2 linked regions of the Coturnix japonica genome follow. The protein of the gene in region 1 interacts with the protein of each later gene in a biochemical or structural test. Links are inferred from orthologs where the notes say so. Each region holds a gene or a part of one and is shown on either strand. Other genes may lie near its edges. The genes, in order: PLAU and alpha-1-antitrypsin-like.

Region 1 (9,484 bases):
TTAGCAGCTCACTTTGAGCCATGTCTTTCTTGAAATAAACCCACTGTCCCTCTCACATACCTGGGTCTTAAAGTCCAGGCACTGTACCTCTCCATCGTTAAACTTAAGGGATGTATTCCTATTGTCTGTAGTCATTCCGTTTTTGAGACTGATCTAAAATTGGTCTGATGGCAAAACCTCTGAAAGCACGGAGCTGCACTCCAGCACCTGCTCTGCAGTGCGTTGCTCACTAGTGTCGTACAAGTCTGTGGCTTTTAAATTTCACTCATTTTTTTTTAGAAGATTCTTTTCCGTTTCATAAATAATAATCTGGCATTTATTCCCATGACTTGCACTGCACATTTTTATATTTGTTGGTTTTTTAAGCAAATTAGTACTCAGTATCTCTTTCCCCCTACCCTTTTTACAGGCTGATTTGTAATGCTCACTCTTGGGCTGATTGCTTTGTGTGCTCGGCTGCAGGAGGCAGCTGCACGCATCAAATCAGGACAGAAGAGGTTTAAGCTTGTCTAATACCATACAGGCAGTAACCGCGGGACCAGACTTTCAGGACTTTGCAGTGCTCAGCGAGGTGCCTGGGCTTACGCAAGGGCTCAGCAGCTCAGGAGGCACTGAGAGCTGAGTGTTCCTTCCCACGCATCAACATGCATGTTCAGACCATTTAGAAGTCTTGCTGCAAGGCAGTAATAATCAGTTAAGCAAGCACAAAGAGCTGGACTGCAGCTAAATAAATCTGCTGCTTTCTGACTGCTAGTCCACACTGCAGTTACCCAGAGTATGGATTTCTCCCATCTCTGCCTCGTGTGAACTCTGCAAAATCTGGCTGTGTTTCAAAATGCACAGAATAGCTTTAAGTGATAAAATCATACCCTCTAAGCTGATTTATGGAAATAATATGCAGACATTCCACTGATAAGTCAGGTCTTAATTCTTCTGCCCACTGTATTGTTATTCAAACCAGGTAAAACAACAGCAATGAGAAAGCTGATGCTGCAAGCTACAACGTGTCACTGAATTCCTCTTTTATTTTCAGAATCGAACGAAAACTAACACGAGGAACAAAGTGAGAACTTAACTGTCAACATGAAGTTACTCATCTTTCTCACAATAACTCTCTGCACGCTGGTCATGGGACTAGATTCAGTAAGTTTTGAAATAAGTGAGGAGGTTTTTTTTTACTTAGATCCACTTCTGTTTTTCAATTATACTTCTGCTTTGGACAGGGTGCTGGGCTTCTGACTTTAATTCTTCTTTCTGCTGCCTTTGCATTTACATCTGCTGCACATATACCTCTGGAAAAATGCGTATTTGAACCCTTTGTTTCTTCCGATTCCTTTCTTCCCTGAGATGTCTTCTAGAGTTAAAATAGTGAGGACATCACACAGTATCCAAGAAATCCAGCACTTATCTTTTCATAAAGCAACTCAGACCACAGAGTATCAAGAACTCAGTGGTGCTTTTTACGTAGGAGGGTATTGGTCCTCCACTAAATTTGTCTTCGCCCTCCTGAATACAAAGCTGAAAAAGGAGACATGGACCCGATTTTGAATATTTTGACTATCATACACAAGCATGAAGCACCAAGGTCCCCAACAACAGACAGCTGGAGCACGTTCCACCTTTGCTGGACTGCTCAGTACCTGAGAGTCGGGGAGGGAGAAGTTGTAATAGAAACATGTCAAAGGAACTGCCTCCTTCAATAATTTTTTTCCTTTTTACCTTAGGTTTACCTCAGGCAGTACTACAAGTTACCACATAAACACAGATCCCAACATAGAGGTAAGTATCTGTTCTAATTAAACATAAAAAGAACCTGCAATTACATCTTCATCAAAGAGAGATGACTTTCAGTGATATGCAGCTAAAACTTATTTTGCAACTGCATTTCACTCAACCACTCAAGTGTTTCACCTCTTACTAATGATGTCTTTTATTTGCAGAATGCCACTGTCTGAATGGTGGAACCTGCATTACCTATCGCTTCTTCAGCCAAATTAAACGTTGCCTGTGCCCAGAAGGATACAGTGGGCTTCACTGTGAAATAGGTAAAGTATCCAATTTCCTTAATACTAACTAACTGACTGAACAGGAAATGTAAGCAAATCACAAATAAGGATTCTCAAGTGAAAGTTTTAATATCCTTCATCAATTTTTAATAATAATCAAGAAGAGGAGAAACAGCCAAATATCAAAGCAAAATTGGAGTCTTGCATTTTCTTGTCCCTGCTTCCTTACAAGTGTTCTTGCACTCCTCATGAATGTTGTAGCTTGTAAACTTGTTTAGGAGTGTCCAGAAGCAAAACAAATAATTATAGCATGAAGTACACTGAAATTGCTTTAAAAAAAGAAAACAAAACAAAAACACACACACACAAAACAAACCACCAAAAGCAATATGCATGGATTAAAGCATGTTATTTCATGCATAAAATTCAGAGAACAAATCCAATAAGAATAGGTAATCAATTCAGGTTTTGTATCATCCTTTTTTATCATATAACACATGCATGCTTTATCACTAAAGTGATCCACACAGATTACTTCTGTTTCAGAACAATTATAAAACAGAACATGCTGCTAACGAATGTTTGTTTTCTCAGACACTGACAGCATGTGCTACAGTGGGAATGGGGAGACATACAGAGGAATGGCAGCAGATCCAGGTTGTCTATATTGGGACCTTCCTTCAGTAATCAGGATGGGCGACTACCATGCTGATTTGAAGAATGCTCTGGATCTTGGACTGGGCAAACACAACTACTGCAGGTAAGATGATGCATCATTCTTCCTGTGACAATACCAGCAGAGCTTTGAGTGATACTACAAGTCCAAAGGGATAGCAGAATATTTCAGAGATCAACTTGAATTTAAAAATATTTGGAACGGGACTCTCTGAAGTGCCTGGAGTTCTTACTGCTTACTGAAACAGCTGGGAATTTCACAGAGCCATCGTATCACATTAACAACTCCAAAGGGAAGTTTCACTTATGACAAAACAAACTGCCAGTTCCGTATTCAAAAAATTAATTGGTTTCTCCAGCATATCTTACAAGAAAGACACCTTTGGCTTTTCCAGTTAGAATTCTAAAATACTATCCTTTTTTAAAGAACTGGGTTTATAAAAAAAGAACATTTCCTTTATTTTCCAGAAACCCAAATGGAAGGAGCAGGCCCTGGTGCTACACCAAAAGATACGGATACTCCATTCGAGAAACACCTTGCAACACTATAGAGAAGTGTGGTAAGTGACACTGGTTTCAAGACAATGGATTTCTAGCACAAAGTTGATGCTTGCCAGCCATGTGAACATCTGTACAAAACTCTCTTCCATAGGGCACACATGTGGCCAAAGAAGCTTCAGCAAGTACTTCAAGATTGTTGGTGGAAGCCAGGCTGATGTTGAGACTCAGCCTTGGATAGCTGGCATCTTCCAAAACATGATGGGCACGGACCAGTTTCTGTGCGGTGGCAGCCTCATTGACCCTTGCTGGGTGCTTACAGCAGCACACTGCTTCTATGATCCGTAAGTGTAAAGTTCTGAATTTCTGCATCCTTCCTATCTGCAGTTTCCTTTGATAGATTTTCTATATCTTCCCCTCACTCTGAATGAGCAAACCTTAAGCAGACAAAGAGGAGCAGCCGTGAACTTTAAGCCTCTGAAAGTCCATGCCTAGCAAAATACAAACATCTTGGTGGATTATGCAGCTGAAACAATTTTAGCTTGAATTGGAGCCGGGATTTCTCTTTAGCTTAGCTATTCCTAAAACCTAAACATTGTCTTGATGTACATTCAGTGCATTTTTTTTTTTTTCTTGTGGAAAGCTGATCCTCCTTGCATTCCGCCAGGGAGTTTCACTGCTGATACCAGACATGAGTAGCAGCTAGCCAGGTGTGCCTCTCATAGTGCATGAACATCTAGCTTATTCACCTCAAGTGGTGAATCAGCAGACCTTCCTGTAGCATACTTGATCAACACTCTTGTTGCTTTGTCTTGTCTGCATTTAAGTAAACATGAAACCAAACTGGTACTTGATTTTAAGTTGTTAACCCTACTCTCAGAAATAGCAGCCTTCATGAATCTTTTTACTTTAACAGGACAAAAAGGCAACCGAATAAGTCAGTCTACAAAGTCTTGCTTGGAAAGTCTGTACTGAATGCTACTGATGGACATGAGCAAGAGTTCATGGTGGATGAAATAATCTCTCATCCTGACTTTACAGATTACACAGGAGGCAATGATAATGATATTGGTAAGTGTCATCTTAATATGAACCTTTCAAACACTGAGGAATATGTCAAATAAATGTACAACTAGAGCAGAGATGAAGGGAACAGGAGCCAAGTAGTTCTAAGAACTGGGTCAGTGGTGAGCAAGATCATTCCATGTCATGTGCCACAAGGTAGACAGACACACAGATGCAAAATGTGTCACCTGACATATAGTAAAATACTGTAGACTGAGACACAGTGCATGCACAGTAGGTTACATTATTTGGCAAGGGAATGCCATATCAGCTAGCATATTAGGTAGCATATTAACTAAAAGTTCCCCTGAAATAAGCCTTATTTCCTGAAGTCTCTCCCTGCTTTACAAACCTCTCCCTAAACAAATGAATTCAGATAGGTTTTTGTAACATGCACAGAATGGACTTGCCACCCTTGCACTTGACACTGAACCCTTGCCTATGACCTGAATTCTGTTACTCAATGATGCAAAATTATTGTCACTAAATAATGATCCTTATAATTCCAAAAGCAATGAGATGAACCATATAATGAGAACTTCCTTTACAAATTTAAGTAATCTTATGTTTTGTTTTGTTGTTGTTAGCTTTGGTAAGAATAAGAACAGCTTCTGGACAGTGTGCAGTAGAAACCAACTATGTCAGAACAGTCTGCTTGCCAGAGAAGAACCTTGACCTGCACGACAATACCCGGTGTGAAATAGCTGGCTATGGAAAACAGAATTCTTGTAAGTGAACAAATTCTTTCCAAACTGTTACTTAGTCTCTGTTGGAAATGGTTGACTTTTTTAAAGACCATGACCTTCACAAGACCCAGAGACTCACTGCTACTACTCCATGTACCTCATTCAACTCTCAAGGATGACCTTTTTTCCCCTTTTTCCTAGACGATATTTACTATGCTCAAAGGCTGATGTCAGCCACTGTAAACTTGATATCACAGGACGCTTGCAAATATAAATACTATGACAGTATCAGAGTTACTGACAACATGGTCTGTGCTGGAGACCCGGCGTGGGAAACAGATGCATGCAAGGTAAAAAAATAATAATAGTAATAATAAATCTTTGTTGTTCATATAAATGACTTTAAATGAAGCATACTGAATGGATCAACTATAGCATAGCAGCATCTTGTAATTCTGCTACTTAAGAGAGTCTTCGAGTAGAGGGAATTCACTATAGCTAGTAGAGTTGACTCAGGGTGGCTGAAGACAGGGAAGCAAGTAAGAACATGGAGTTTGGTGTAAACCCCTCCAGGTCAGCCTCTCACAGAGCAGCAGCTGCAATGCCTTAATCGTTGCTGCTCTTGGAGATGTTACAATTTGTTCTGGCAGTGGCTGGTAGATAAACACATCAGAGGCGGTCTCAGCTACACTTACTTAATCTTAAGTACAATTCTGCAGTGGGATAATGGATGGCTAAAAGAGATGGATAACAGGAAGATACTGAGGCCTTATGCAGATTCCTCAAAACTGGATTTGCTTCCCTCCACCTTCACTGGGCAGCCTGACCAATACATCTCTTAAGAAAAAACAGAGTTAGCCTTAAGTGTGCTGGGGGATGATTAATGACGTGATGCAGAATAGGGCATGTTTGCTTTGACCTTGTTCAACCACCTTAACAGCTATGATTATGAGCTGTAACAAAGTAATTGTTCCACCTGGGCAAGCTAAGGGGACTAGAGAACTCTTGACTGCGCTGTAGTTGAAACAGGAGCTGAACATTCTCTTCCATTTATACAGTACTCTAAATATATATATTAAATATATATATACACACACACACACACACACACGAGAATTTTAGCTTTTATCTACTGTTTGTTTCAATTCAGAAAAACAGTAATCACAGGCTCCCTGTTATCAAAGTTCCATCTACAGAAAACATCCTAATACGTTCTTTTTCCATTGTCAGGGAGATTCTGGCGGCCCCATGGTCTGTGAGCACAATGGCAGGATGACACTTTATGGGATTGTCAGCTGGGGAGATGGCTGTGCGAAGAAAAACAAGCCTGGCGTTTACACCAGAGTTACTCGCTACCTTAACTGGATCAACTCAAATATGAATGCAGTGGTTACCAAAAGTCGCTCTTTCCCTGAACCAAAGTGACTGTTTGTGTACTTCTGGACTTAAATGACAGTAAGACTGTGGTGATGCCAGGGCACCAAAGCCCTGAACGTCAGAGTTCTTGCTTTTAACTGATCACATAGATTGCCACTACAGTGTTTCTGATGCAGAAGTTGATACTATCTCACTACTCTTAATTACTGAAAACCACTCAATGGGAAACTAAAATATTTAACATTTAAATGAGTATTCCCATGCACAATACTGTACACATCAAGTTAACTGTCCACTTCATTTACAAACTGGCATTTGTTCTGGAGCTTTTGGTGAAGCTTTAAGTTATTTTACTTGTGCATTTTGCATACAGCATCTAACATCTTTTCCCATCACTCCAAACAATGTGGAATGATAGAAACCTGACCTGTGAAGACCAGTACTGGGAATGTGAACAGGCTTTGCCTCAGAATGTGCAAGAAACTGCATCAGTGTTGATTATCATTAATGTGTGAAGAAGGACTGAAGCAGAACTTGGTATACAGGACTTGTTCCCGTAGACCCAAAGAATACTAAAATCTTTGTGATGGCAACTACAGCTGTGTTAGAATTAAAAACTCTTGTGGTATTCCACCAAAGAACTGCACTAAAGAGGGAAAACAAATAATGTGACTACACTTCCAGGTCCCATCCAAAGGAGCCTGGGTTCCCTTAGAAGTCTGATGGTACCACTTTTCTATATTACCTATGCAACACAGAGAAGAGCTAAGGATTCAGCACACACTGAGTGTTGAAAGCCAGAACCTTATTTCCATTCATCTAACTGATATGATATGGAAACTGCTTCCCCCCCCCCAAGACTTTCACTGATTTTATTTTTAAACTTGTTTTTTTTTTTTTTTTTCTTTTTTTATAGATGGAATTATTTGCATGAGGGCTGGAACCTCATCTTATTTAATTTTTACTATGTTTAACTTATTATTTGTATTATATATGTAAAACTATCAATAAAACTATTATTCTTACATAGCTGTTCCTTCTTTTGAAAGGGGAAGACTATGTTTTGAAGTTCTAATGTCAGTCACTGTTTCATTTGGTAAAATGGGGATGTCCAAACTTCCTTTCATGCATCTTTAATTAATATCTTCAGCTCTGGTAGACGGTACTAAAGTAAGTACAGCAGATAGTGATACAGCATGCAATAAATAATAACCAAGATCCATACAATATATGTTGCAGGATTTTGTATAAACTAGATGCTCCCAAGTAACTGCAGCACATTTGGTTTGAATTCCTAAAGCAAACTACATCATTTTGGTTTCACCTTAAAGAAATACAGTTCACGTGTTCCATGATTTCCTACACTGAGTTCCCAATCACTTGGTGGAGGAAGTTGTAAAATCAGGAACTTGGTTTCAAAAGTTCATCCCCTACCTTTTACAAGGTGTGAGTGCAGGTGTAAGAGCTTAGAATGCTCCCCTTACCAACCTAATGCTGCAATATGATATCATAGGTGATAAAAGGAAAGTAATAGGTTTTGCTTTCCTCAGTAATTAGTCACAAGTAGAAATTTCAGAAAATACTTCATTTAACATTGATACTAAGCTCTTCTAAGTAATATCTTCATTAATATAAACTGCACACCAAGCAACAGCTTCACTTACACTTCAGTTCACTTATTCCCCCACGTACACTTAAGAAAGAAGTTCAGTCAGAAAAGAATTTGTAACACAGCGGTAAGAACAATCTAATAATTAAAGCCAACTACATTGCCAATTCTGGACAAAATATTATAATCATTAACACAAAGTACATCCTTGCTGAAGATATGTTCTGTTGTTTGGGCAAACATCAAAGACTGAAAAATATGTACAAAGTCTTCCCCTTTGAGGGGAGCACAGTTCAATTCTAGAATCACTTTGACACCTGAAGGAGAATGCTTTGCTGTGGTTTTGCTTCTTTGAAAGTAGCTAAGAGAAATGAATACACTGGGGGCACTGCTACAAGCAGCATTCATAGCAAATTTACACATGTAACACTATAACAGGATGGAAAACAGGGCAATGATAGGGTAGCAAATTCCTAGGCTACAGCAAATGAGAATAAGCCCAAATGCAGCAGCTGTAGACACAGAAACAAATGAAAATCTGCTTACCCTTGGAAGGCCTCTATTAGATAGGGATCTCCAGCAAGATCCCCTTGCCTCCACTGCCAACCTTGATACAAGGTTTGTAAGGGGTGGATCCTGGCTCCATCCCTTCTGGTCACTCGGGAGCACTACATGCACCTGAGCTCCCCTGGGCTGGCTCTGCCTTCCCACCAGGTGCTCAATCACTGCTTCAAGCCCTCACTTAGGTATTTCTGCTACAACAGGTAAGAATCTGTATCACAGCATCAGATATATATGTACCACGTATGCTGGTTTTAAATGTTAAAGCAAAAGGCTTGCACTTGCAACATAATACCTTGCCAAGCATTTAAGAATGTGAAAAATGACTTCCCATGTTGAAGTGGCCATGATGGAACAAATGATCAGGCTAATTAGCAGGCTAATTTAAGTTATCAATCCTATCCATCCTAAAAATACCAAAACAAACAAACAAAAAAAAAACAACAGCAAGACTCCAGTTGTTACTGGTGAAAAGATCACAGGCCAGCAACTTGATTTGTCATTTTTATCCTATTTTCAAGAACAGTTCCTACCCAAATACTTTGTTTTGAGTACTAGCTACTTTTTCATCTCCCCTCATAAATGCAAAATTTCAATTGCAATGAGGTCAAAACATTCACTGATTTTTGTATATCAGTTGATAACAACATTTACTTGCTTGCTACAGGTATGTAAGAAAAAAACCTCAGTGTTTATGTGCAATCATTCCTTGTGTGGCTCCTACACAAATGTTTTGATCTCAATCACAGTTTAATTATGAATGAATCCAGATTTTGAAAACATTTTGGAGCAATATTTATCAAGCAATTCATTGTGACACAAAAGCAGTACCCTGACTAGAGATGAGCAGAACCTGGAAATGGATGGACTCCTAAAAAGCACCCAAAAGACTATTTTGGTCAAATTCTTTTTTGTCATGCTATAGATATCAAAGAGTATTAAGAAAAAAAGACAAATACTTTCTTTTATCTTGCTCAAATGGAGATGAGGTAGATAAACTCATTATT
Region 2 (10,171 bases), on another chromosome or scaffold:
AACTCAGAGGATGGTTAGATGTTCATAAAAGGCAGATCCTGCTTCATCAATCTGATCTCTGTCTATGACTAAGTTGCTCACCTGGTGTAGGGAAAAGCTGTGATTCTAATCTACCTAAACCTTATTAAAGCTTTTGATGCTGTCTCTCACAGTGTTTTCCTGTAGAAGCTGGTAGCCTATGGCTTGGGCAGGTACATCCTTTGCTGGGTAAGGAACTGGCTGCAGGGCCAGTCTCAGAAAGTAGAGGTGAATGAACTTAAATCCAGCTGGCAACCAGTCACAAGTGGTGCTCCCCATGGGTCAATATAGGTGCTTATCCACTTTAATAGCTTTATTGATGATCTGGATGAGAGGACTGAGTGCACCCTCAGTAAGTCTGCAGGTGACACCTAGATGGGAAGAAGTGTCAATCTTCCTGAAGGTAGAAGGACCTGCAGGGACCTGGACTGGCTAGATTGGGCTGAAACCGAGCATATGAACTTTAACCTGACCGAGTGCTATATTTGGCACTAGTGACACCTTGATACTATGTTCAGTTTTGGAGCCCTCACTACAAGAATGACACTGACACTCTGGAATGTGTCCAGAGAATGGTAACAAAGTTGTGAAGGGTCTGGAGCATAAACCTTCCGGGGTGTGTCTGAGGGAACTGGGAATGTTTGGTCTGGAGGAGGCTCAGGGGAGACCTTGTAGCTCTCTACAACTACCTGAAAGAAGGTTACAGAGATATACCAAAATCCTCCGAGCAGATGCTAGCTCCTTGACTATTTTAGAGATTTCTGTGTGAAAAGCATATTAATTTCAATACTATCAAGGTTAGGAACCAATGTGATTCTGTGTGATTTTTGCACTTCAGCAAAAACACGCTATCTTCAGGAAACAAGGGAAGTCTCTATGTAAAGGAATTGGGTGTGTATACTGCTCTCACAAATGTCAAATACATGATAGGCCAAGTAGCATCACAGAAAAGGAGAGGTATTCCCCATAGCTATCTTACCCTGAACTTAGATGTCAGAGCTTAGTGCTGGGTGGAACTGTACAGCTCCAGAGGAAGGTCAGTTTCCATCTCAGGTAACACAGAGAGAAAAATAGCTGTATTTGGCACAGAATCTCATTTCCAATTAATACTTGCTTTGGCATTGCTTTATGACCCTCATGGAGCATAGCACTCTCCTCAACCTACTGCCTTTGTCCCGTGGTCTTAGCTCTGATTGGAGTAGGGATGTGTTCACGTGAATATGGCAGCCAAGAAAATTAGCTTCATCAGCATTTAGCTTTATCCTTTTAGATTATCTGTATTTGAGGCCATGTAATGTTTAACAGAGGAAAACAGCAGTAAAGCAACAAGAGCAAAATCCATGCAAGAGCAGGACCCTTCTGAATGCAATGTAAGTACCCAGATATCTTTACTTTAAAGACTTTGATGCAGCTATGTGACATTTAGTTAGTGAGTCATGAAGCACATCTGCTTTTAAAGGTGAAACTTGGTTTCTAAGCACTCAAATGACAGCTGAATTTAATTTCCAAGAAATACTGAATAGCAAATCATGGATATACATTACAGCAGCTCTACAGGTATAGCTCTGCTATGAATATTTATCCAAAATATCTATTTCGTTTCTAGAAGAAATCATCTTATTTAAGGAGAGGGAAAATATTCTGACTTTCCAGCAGTCATTCTGGTATGATACAGTTACTGAAGTTCTCTAAAGTATGTGGTGTGATAGCCAAAGCTCCAACGTGAATGAGGTGTCTTATTTACACCAGTGTGTTTCAAGCAGGATACATAAAGTTACCTTTGCTGAAAGGAGGGTTCCCTAGTCATACAAATTTTAGACAGACAGGATATGCCAAGCCTACTGCAGTGGCTGCACCATCTCATCACCATTGTGGGTTGCACAAATAGAGGAACCCGTCTGGAAGATGTGCATTAGTTGAGTGATGGTTTAAAATAAAGCAATGTATTCTGATATAATCAGGTGCTAAAGCAGGAAAACATCACTAACTTGCTTGTGATTACTCACTTCATGTGTTAAAATGAATCAGGAATGAGAGAGATGATGTTATGACTGTTGTAAACTTTTCTTGTTTTCCACGGACATAGCTCAGTCATTTGACATAAGCCTCTTACAATCACAAATATCATGCTAAACATGAGAGTTCTTAGAGGTAAACACAGTAGATGCAAGAGTTGTTTCTGATGTGTCACCATACCATAAAATGGATCTACAGTGAGATTAAAAAAAAAAAAAACAATGAACCTTTTAATTTTCTTTCTCCTTCTGAATCATGTTTCCCTTTAATAATCACATGCTACTCTCTTCACAAGCATCCAGTAACTAGGGACTTGTGTAGCTGGAGGAAAGCAGAACTGAAGTGGGCAGTAATTGATATGAGTTACATCTGAGATCAAAGCAGGAGTGTTTCAAAACTGTGTCATAATAAAGGAGCAGGTCAGGAGATTAACAGCGTTAATAACTTTTGTGGGTAGCAGCAGATATAAATAAAAGATGATATGTTCACGTGGCCATTCTCCATGGTCCAACACAATTTATTTTTGTCCTCACAGTAGCAGAAAAGTATGATGAAGGCCATCCTCCTGCTATGCTCACTGCTGGCCATCCTTTACCCTGCAGTACCCAGTGTGAGACAGACTGACCACCACAATGAAGAGCCCAGAGCAACTCACCTTCATGAGCAGCATCCTCATGAGGAAGATTCTCTTGCTTTCTGCAAGCATATAATCCCCAGCAACACGGACTTTGCCTTCAGGTTTTACAGGCAAGCAACTGTCCAAGCACCTGGCATGAATATTTTCTTCTCCCCAGTCAGTGTCTCTGCTGCCCTTGCCCTGCTGGCCCTGGGCTCCAGAGCTACAACCCAGGCTCAGCTGCTGGAGGGGCTGGCCTTTAATCTCACCAGCAACAGGGAGGAGGAGATACACCTTGGCTTTCACCATCTTCTTCTCCTGCTGAACCGTCCTGGCAGCCAGGTGGAGCTGAGCATGGGAAATACCTTGTTCATGGACAAACACCTGAAGCCACTGACAACATTTCTGAAGGACATGAAAAATCTGTACAAGGGGGAAATTATTTCTAGTAACTTTCAGAATTCCACTGAGGCTAAAAAAGAGATCAATGATCATATAAAAAACAAAACACATGGGAAGATAAATCAAATACTTAAGGACCTCGATCCAAACTCTTTAATGGTACTTGTTAACTATATTTATTTCAAAGGTAAGTTCAGTTATACAGATGCTACTGCAGTATCCAAGTTTGCCTTGGACTAAAACCAAATCCCAGATTATTTATGAATTACTTTTAAAAGAAGGACAGTGTTAAAACTATAAGAAGCATTGCAAGTTTGCACACTTTGAAACCTTTTAATACATCTGTGATTTTTTTTTCAAGCATATTTCTAGCTTGTAAGCACAAAAATTTACTTATTTGCAATCTTCAGGACTTATCAGAGCACAGCACATGTATGCATTTGTGGATTTTTCTATCAGACTTTTGTTTTATTGCAAAAATTACTCTGCAGTCAGTATATATCCTGTATGAAGAAACAAACCAAATTCCTAAGATTATTAAAAAAATGACAAATCTTCAATTGGCCTACAACCTAGGCTTATTAAATAGGTGCATATCTATGGAGTTGGGCTCTAAAAGTTCTACAGCCAGTCATTACATTATATATATACGCCAGGATGGACTTGAGAATTTGCTGCTTTAGCAATGATTAGCTTCTTAAAGGTAATATCCATTCGTAGCAGCATGCAGGATGTAAACTGAATTTATCACCCAGGAAGGTGTCAGTAGGTAGAAACATTCAGCAAAATAGTTTTTATTTCAAGCGCTCTATTAAATCTAGGTACCCTAGTTAGAAGTGGATTGTGATGATAAGAAATTATGATGGGAGTTCAAACTCATAAAGTAGTTGAAGTACTTCAGTGTTTATGCTCTACTACTTAATTTTCAATTTTATTTCATTTCTGTTCAATATTTAAAAAACAAATGCACTTAGATCTGGAATGACAAACAGTGAACTGTATGTATTTGTTCAGTGAATGACTTGATTTAATATAAGCAAAATGCAACTAAAAAGTCATTTGAACAAGGATGGAAGGTTAAAGCCTTAGAAGCCCTGTTCCACTTACTGTAATGTAGTTACTATCAGACCCGAAAGTTCAGGTTGTTCTTTCACTGAAGTTTTTCTTTAGTGATACCAGATGAGAAACAGATGAGAAAGCATGGGAGGAGCATAACACATCACCTTTAAAAAGGCAGGCGTCTGCTGGGGAACTTACATAGCAAGCAAAGTGGTTGTAAATTAACTCATTCGACCACAGTTAGGCACTTTTATTTTCTTTTTCTTCACATTTTTCCTTTTCTTCAAATAAATTTAAGGTAACATCATGAAGTTATTTCATTTGATTTATCTGACTTGCAACACCTGTCTGAAGTTTAATCTTGGATAATTGTTACTTGAACATATTATAGCAGAGATGACAGGGAACAAGACCTTGAATAAATTTTGATTTCCTTTGATCTTCAATTATGAGCATAAATCTTTAGATATGAATGTATTTGGTGTAAATTAGACTAGACTATTTTAACATATCCTCCTTAAAATAAGCATGCAAATGTATTCTTTCTCTCTTATTTTTAAGCCTACTGGGAAAATCCTTTCAATATGAAAGGGACTCACAAGGATTATTTCTATGTGAATGAAAAGACTTTGGTTGAAGTGAAGATGATGATTCGAGATAGCTTTTATGACATATATTCTGACAAGAAGCTGTCATGCAAGGTGGTGAGGATTCCTTACAAGGGAAATGTTTCAGCACTGTTTATCCTGCCCAATGAAGGAAAAATGAAAAGGCTGGAGGATGGTCTGATGAAAGACACAGTGTCTAAATGGGAAAAATCACTTGAAAGACGGTAAATTCTAATTTGATACTTCACAATAGTCAGAACCTGAGGCCTAAACACTATAATCAAGTTTTACAGTTATAAGGTTTTGTTGTTCAGTAGAGGTTTAAGTAATGGGACAGGTATAAATGGATAGACTAAACAATGTACTGGTTTGCACAGGTTTTTCAGCAGCAATCTGAACTGGCACTGCATTGTAGTGAGGGAATAGATTTGTGAGCTGAGAAACAGCTTCAATTTCTTTACCTTTTTCAGTTGATAGTCAAGATCTCCACTTCCTTTTCCCAAATGTAGTATGTTAACAGTGATACTACTGTGACATAGAAACCCGATCCCTTGGAGAAAATGGGGTATGATTAAAAAAAAAAATAAAAAATAATATATTGAGGGCTAGAAAATGAATGCAAAAGTACCCACAATGGTGCTGGCACTATCACTGCTTGTTGTCTATTCAGGGGGTGCTTGTAAGATTGGAAACAAGCCCTAAGTAATGTCTTTCTAATACTTCATTTTCCCATCATCATCCTGACCACTGTCTTCCCACATTTTGTTGCCATTTTTTCTATATTTGAAGACTAAAATTTCAGCACAAAATTACCAGCAAATTGGGACACTTCAAGTTATACCTTGATTATAATAAATACCATAACTCTCTTTTGAATTAATAGGAGGATGGAAGTGCATATTCCAAAAGTATCCATTTCTGGCACCTATGACTTAAAGAAGATGGTCATGAATCTGGGTATAACAGATGTGTTTTCCGACCAGGCTGATCTGTCTGGAATCATAGGAAAGTTCAACCTGAAGGTTTCAAGAGTAAGTTGGACAACAGAAAAGTCTATGAATTCCTTATTTCCTTTGATTTAAGTTATGTTCCAGCATAATTCTTAGTTCTGAGAATGATTTATACTCTGTGAATTCAAACATTTTAGCTTGTAGAGAAACTTTAAATTTTTTCAGACTTATTTCTGGATCTTGAATATTGCCTTCCTTCTGTCAGCCTGAAGTTGTGACAAAGGCTGAGAGGCTTATATAAATTTTTCCAAGAACAAAATAGTTTCAGCATAGAAAACGAGACTCCATATATTAGGGTTGCTTTGCATGAGCATATCTAGTACAAAAAATGGCCTATTTTCTTTAATGCATGCATGTGATTATAGAATTTTAAAGAACTTTCAAACTATTTCCATAGAAGGCACTAGCAAGTGCTAATCACATAAGAGGGATCAGGCTACAGGAAAGCTTCCTGTTCCCTGGGAAGAACAAATAATACAAAGATAAAATAAAATTTTATGGGCATTGAGAAAGCAGTAATTGTAACATTATAGTATCTTGATTTTAGTGAAACAAATGTTGAAAATGAAAAAAAAAAATGATATGAATATTTATTTTCTACTGACAAAAGTTTAATCCATCACGTATTAGGGATACAGACAGAACAGCTCCTCCTTATAGAGATGACGTTGCTAGAACACCTCCCTCAGACTAAGTTTCCTTCTTAGATTGTGACCTCCTAGTCATTTCTGTGAATGACAGGAGGTGAATTAACTTTGTGCCAATTTTAGTCATTCCACCCCCATCCTGTTGTGTACAGTAATACTTGCTGTGTTTCCTTGTAGGCTATTCACAAGGGTCTGCTGAAAATTCATGAGAATGGCACAGAGGCTGCAGCAGTCACTGGCACAGAGTTTGCTCCTCATTCTGTTCCTCCTGTTATAAAGTTCAACCGTCCATTTTTGCTGTTGATTGTTGATCAATACACTGAAAGTATCCTCTTCATAGGAAAAATTGTAAACCCACTGAAAAATGGTTGATCATGTGGCAGGTCTAACTGATTTGAATAGCACTTTAAGCATTTATAGTCTGATGTAATTAAAATTATTTTAAATCTTTTAGTAATTTTATTTTTTTTTCTAAAAATAATTAAGACAAGAATGTGGTCGCTCTTAAAATCACCATCCTTGCTCCCTCCTCCAGTAGAAAGTAACTAGCAAGATGCGTTCACCATGGAATTATGAAGCAGTGCATACATCAGTCTTCTAATGACCAATACAATATCACTGAAAAAGTTAAGTATCTAGCTGAGAGAAGCAGTTTAAAACCTGTTCAGTATATAATGAATGAGCAAGCAGACTGTTTCTGAATAATGAGTAGGAAAGTAGGAAAAGGCTGTTGTTTTCTCCAGCTGTCTGCAGTACTTACCAGGTCCTGGTCCTGAAGAGATGACATGAAAATTTAGAATATAAATGCAGCCTACTTAGGTATATCTTATGTTTTCTTTTCCACATGAATTTTATTGATGGGAAAAGGTCATGTATTTCCATGAGAAAATGATTGCTTGGCACTCTGAGGATGTCTGTGCCAATCAGACATTTTATTCAGCTTTATGGATCCAAGGTACTGTTAAAATTCAGTCAAATCTTGGAACCTGTGAAGGGCTGGAGCACCAAGAAAAGATACACTTGCCAACAAACACAGCCAGACTTTTGTGGTATCGGCCTGACTCCTTCACTGTTCCACCCTTTGGATTCAGCAGCAGCAACTATTTAAGAAGTGTTAAATACTTTTATCTTTCTCAGTGTGTTGTTTCTCATTTTCTTAAAGATTTACTCGACAGATTATGAGAGCAATTCAATATTAGAACAAGTTCCTCTGTGGAACCTGACCTTTCTAAGGCAACAGTTACCCATCATACCAATCTCTGCAATCAGAGCATTTGCCTTGGTTACAGGGATATTCAAGATTATTCATGTTTTCACAGCCCTCCCTTACCTGAAGATGGACAATCCTACGACTCCAACATCCTAATTAAGCTGAAACTGCAAGAGTAGAGTTAGCATTAGATCTGGAGTACTGTGAAGGATATTGTCCTGGAGGATAGAAATCAATGTCTGCTCCTCCCTGAGGATGGTTTAAAATTGAGTTTGGCAAATTAATCCTGATGAACTCTACAAAGTGTGCTGTTGAGTGGGTGTTGGATGAAACAGCGATAATCTGTAATATTGGTAGGGCTTCTAGAAAAAAGGAGATGTAGGATGGGAGGATAGTAATAATTCCCTTTCAGACACTGGAATAACAAGTTTTTTGCCATGCCCCTTGTTAGAGTATCTGACATGGAAGTGCATGTAAAGCAAAGGCATGCCACTGAATTCCTCCAGGTGGAAAAATGTGCACCTACTGACATTCATCAACACTTGCCAAATACTTCTGGAGACCAAGCAGTAGAGGCAAACACAGTGAGGCAGAGGGTGATGCATTTCAGGAATGGTGATAGCTGTGTGAAAGACAAGCCACATTTCCAACATACAAATCTAGCTGTCACACTGTGGTATGGATTGCATCTCAGTCATCTCACTCACACAAATCAATTCATGGTGGTTATTATCACAAGAAATAGCATTTTGTAGCTTACAATTTGCTCCACCAAATAGTGTTATTGAGCTCTTTGTACTTTTTTTTTTTTTTTTTTTTTTTTTCCCCCATGGAAAGAAATAAAAGGCATTACATTTGAAGCAACTTATCTCATTAGAGTATATTTACAATGTGCCCTGCAACACATATTGCAGGGCAATATGGAGGTACTGAGCTGTTCCTGACCTAGCTTTTTGGTGCTTCAGGTAGCTGATTAGATATCCTTCTATCAGGATATCCCATGCGGAGAGTCCTGTAGGACAAACTACCCTTTTCACAACCAGACATCACTCAGCACCTATCTTAGATTTCCAGTTCTCTTACTGTGTGGATTTTAAAATCCCAAGGTAGTGTGCTATGCAAAGCGCTTTTGCCCACAGGTTTGCACAAATGCAAGAGTAGTGTGAACCTTGCTCTTTACCCTCTGAGCCCTAGATGTTGGCATCATTTCACCTATGTGTTGAAAAACTGGGTTACGATGTTTGATGTCTAGAAAAAAAAGTAGCTAACTCATTCTTTGCTTTACAAATAAATATTATTTGCTTTGATTAATATTTACCAGTGGACATTAACTTAATATTACCGAGCAAAACGGAGAGTAGGGAAGGAGCACTGTGAATGAGAGGTCCAGCAGACTCTTTTTAAACTACACTGTAAGTACTATATCATACTTAGAAGAATTTGAACTTGTATTGTCTATGATCTCTGCAATTTAATACATAGTATTTAATTATGAGATGATTTTATTTTGAATACGTAGTTGGAAATCTATCTTCTGGAACCATGGTCTATGCATTGAGAATGGGATTCCATCAGTGATGCAGCTCTTAGATACTGTGTCAGGATGACAAGGGAGATGAGGTCCAAAGTGAATGTTCAGCTGCCATTCACCCCAAGGTGAAACACTGAACCCCGCCTCTACTACCAGAGGAGTAAATTCACTTGCAGCTCGATGTCCTAGATACTTTAGGCTGATACAGGACTAGCGCAGGAGCTGAGAGTAATATATTGATACCACAACCATCCTCAAACACTGCAGTTAAGTGGCACAGGGGCTGACACTAATCTCTCTCAGAAGCAGATTTCTGGTGTTACATACAGAGTATTTACAGGATCATAGTGTACTGTTTTCATTTAGATTTTACTTTTTCTCTGTCTATAATTTTATCTGTCATTTTAGGCAAACTGAGCACAGTTCCCACACTCAGCACTTAGACATCTTAGATCTCAAGTGTTTCATAAAGGGCAGCCACATAAGAAGAAATCCAAATTTAACAACTCTCCATGAAATGTTTGATATAGGACCCAAACCTGGCTTCAGACACAACCTGAGGTAAACCATGGGGCAGATTCACACACTGTAGAATAATCATGCTATTGCTCTGAACAGTGACATCACCTCTGTTTTCCTGAAGTACGCTATCTCCTTTATGTTTTTGAGATTTCTGATTTGAGATAATTTACATGATATATTCTATGGAGAACATACTTCCACAATATCTCCTAAAAAGGGAAGAAGAGAAACTGTGGGGTTATGTAGAATTTGTTTCTATCAGTTTAAGGAAGACGAAAGGTCATCCAATTACCCAAATATATACACAGCAAGGCCACAATTAAGCTTCTGCTCTAGCTTTTCCTAAACTCTTGTGTGTTCAGTTTTATAGCCTTATGGATACTTTATGTGCAATGAAGAAATACAACAAAATTTCTTGATTTATCCTCATTTTACTGAAACATGTAAGATAATGTGCTGAAATTACACAGTTCTTGAGTTCAGAGCTGCTGTACCAGAGGCAGAAAGATACAGTTTAAATGGTGAAGCATCA

What was found.
Region 2: the proteins of PLAU (region 1) and alpha-1-antitrypsin-like form a complex in vitro, tested with the Homo sapiens proteins (2 studies listed by BioGRID). The link is inferred for Coturnix japonica from reciprocal best matches to the Homo sapiens genes PLAU and SERPINA5.

Annotation. Positions count from the first base shown.
Region 1 is NC_029521.1:13,072,330-13,081,813, reverse strand, and holds the end of PLAU (urokinase-type plasminogen activator), read left to right. Parts: intron 1-1,033; 5' UTR 1,034-1,083; coding exon 1,084-1,143; intron 1,144-1,724; coding exon 1,725-1,779; intron 1,780-1,940; coding exon 1,941-2,045; intron 2,046-2,600; coding exon 2,601-2,766; intron 2,767-3,149; coding exon 3,150-3,241; intron 3,242-3,333; coding exon 3,334-3,523; intron 3,524-4,095; coding exon 4,096-4,250; intron 4,251-4,831; coding exon 4,832-4,972; intron 4,973-5,131; coding exon 5,132-5,280; intron 5,281-6,160; coding exon 6,161-6,355; 3' UTR 6,356-7,334; downstream 7,335-9,484. UniProt on the Homo sapiens protein: Specifically cleaves the zymogen plasminogen to form the active enzyme plasmin.
Region 2 is NC_029520.1:41,321,321-41,331,491, reverse strand, and holds the end of alpha-1-antitrypsin-like, read left to right. Parts: intron 1-1,275; exon of another isoform or gene 1,276-1,388; intron 1,389-2,569; 5' UTR 2,570-2,581; coding exon 2,582-3,239; intron 3,240-4,672; coding exon 4,673-4,943; intron 4,944-5,602; coding exon 5,603-5,750; intron 5,751-6,553; coding exon 6,554-6,748; 3' UTR 6,749-6,833; downstream 6,834-10,171. UniProt on the Homo sapiens protein: Heparin-dependent serine protease inhibitor acting in body fluids and secretions. Inactivates serine proteases by binding irreversibly to their serine activation site. Involved in the regulation of intravascular and extravascular proteolytic activities.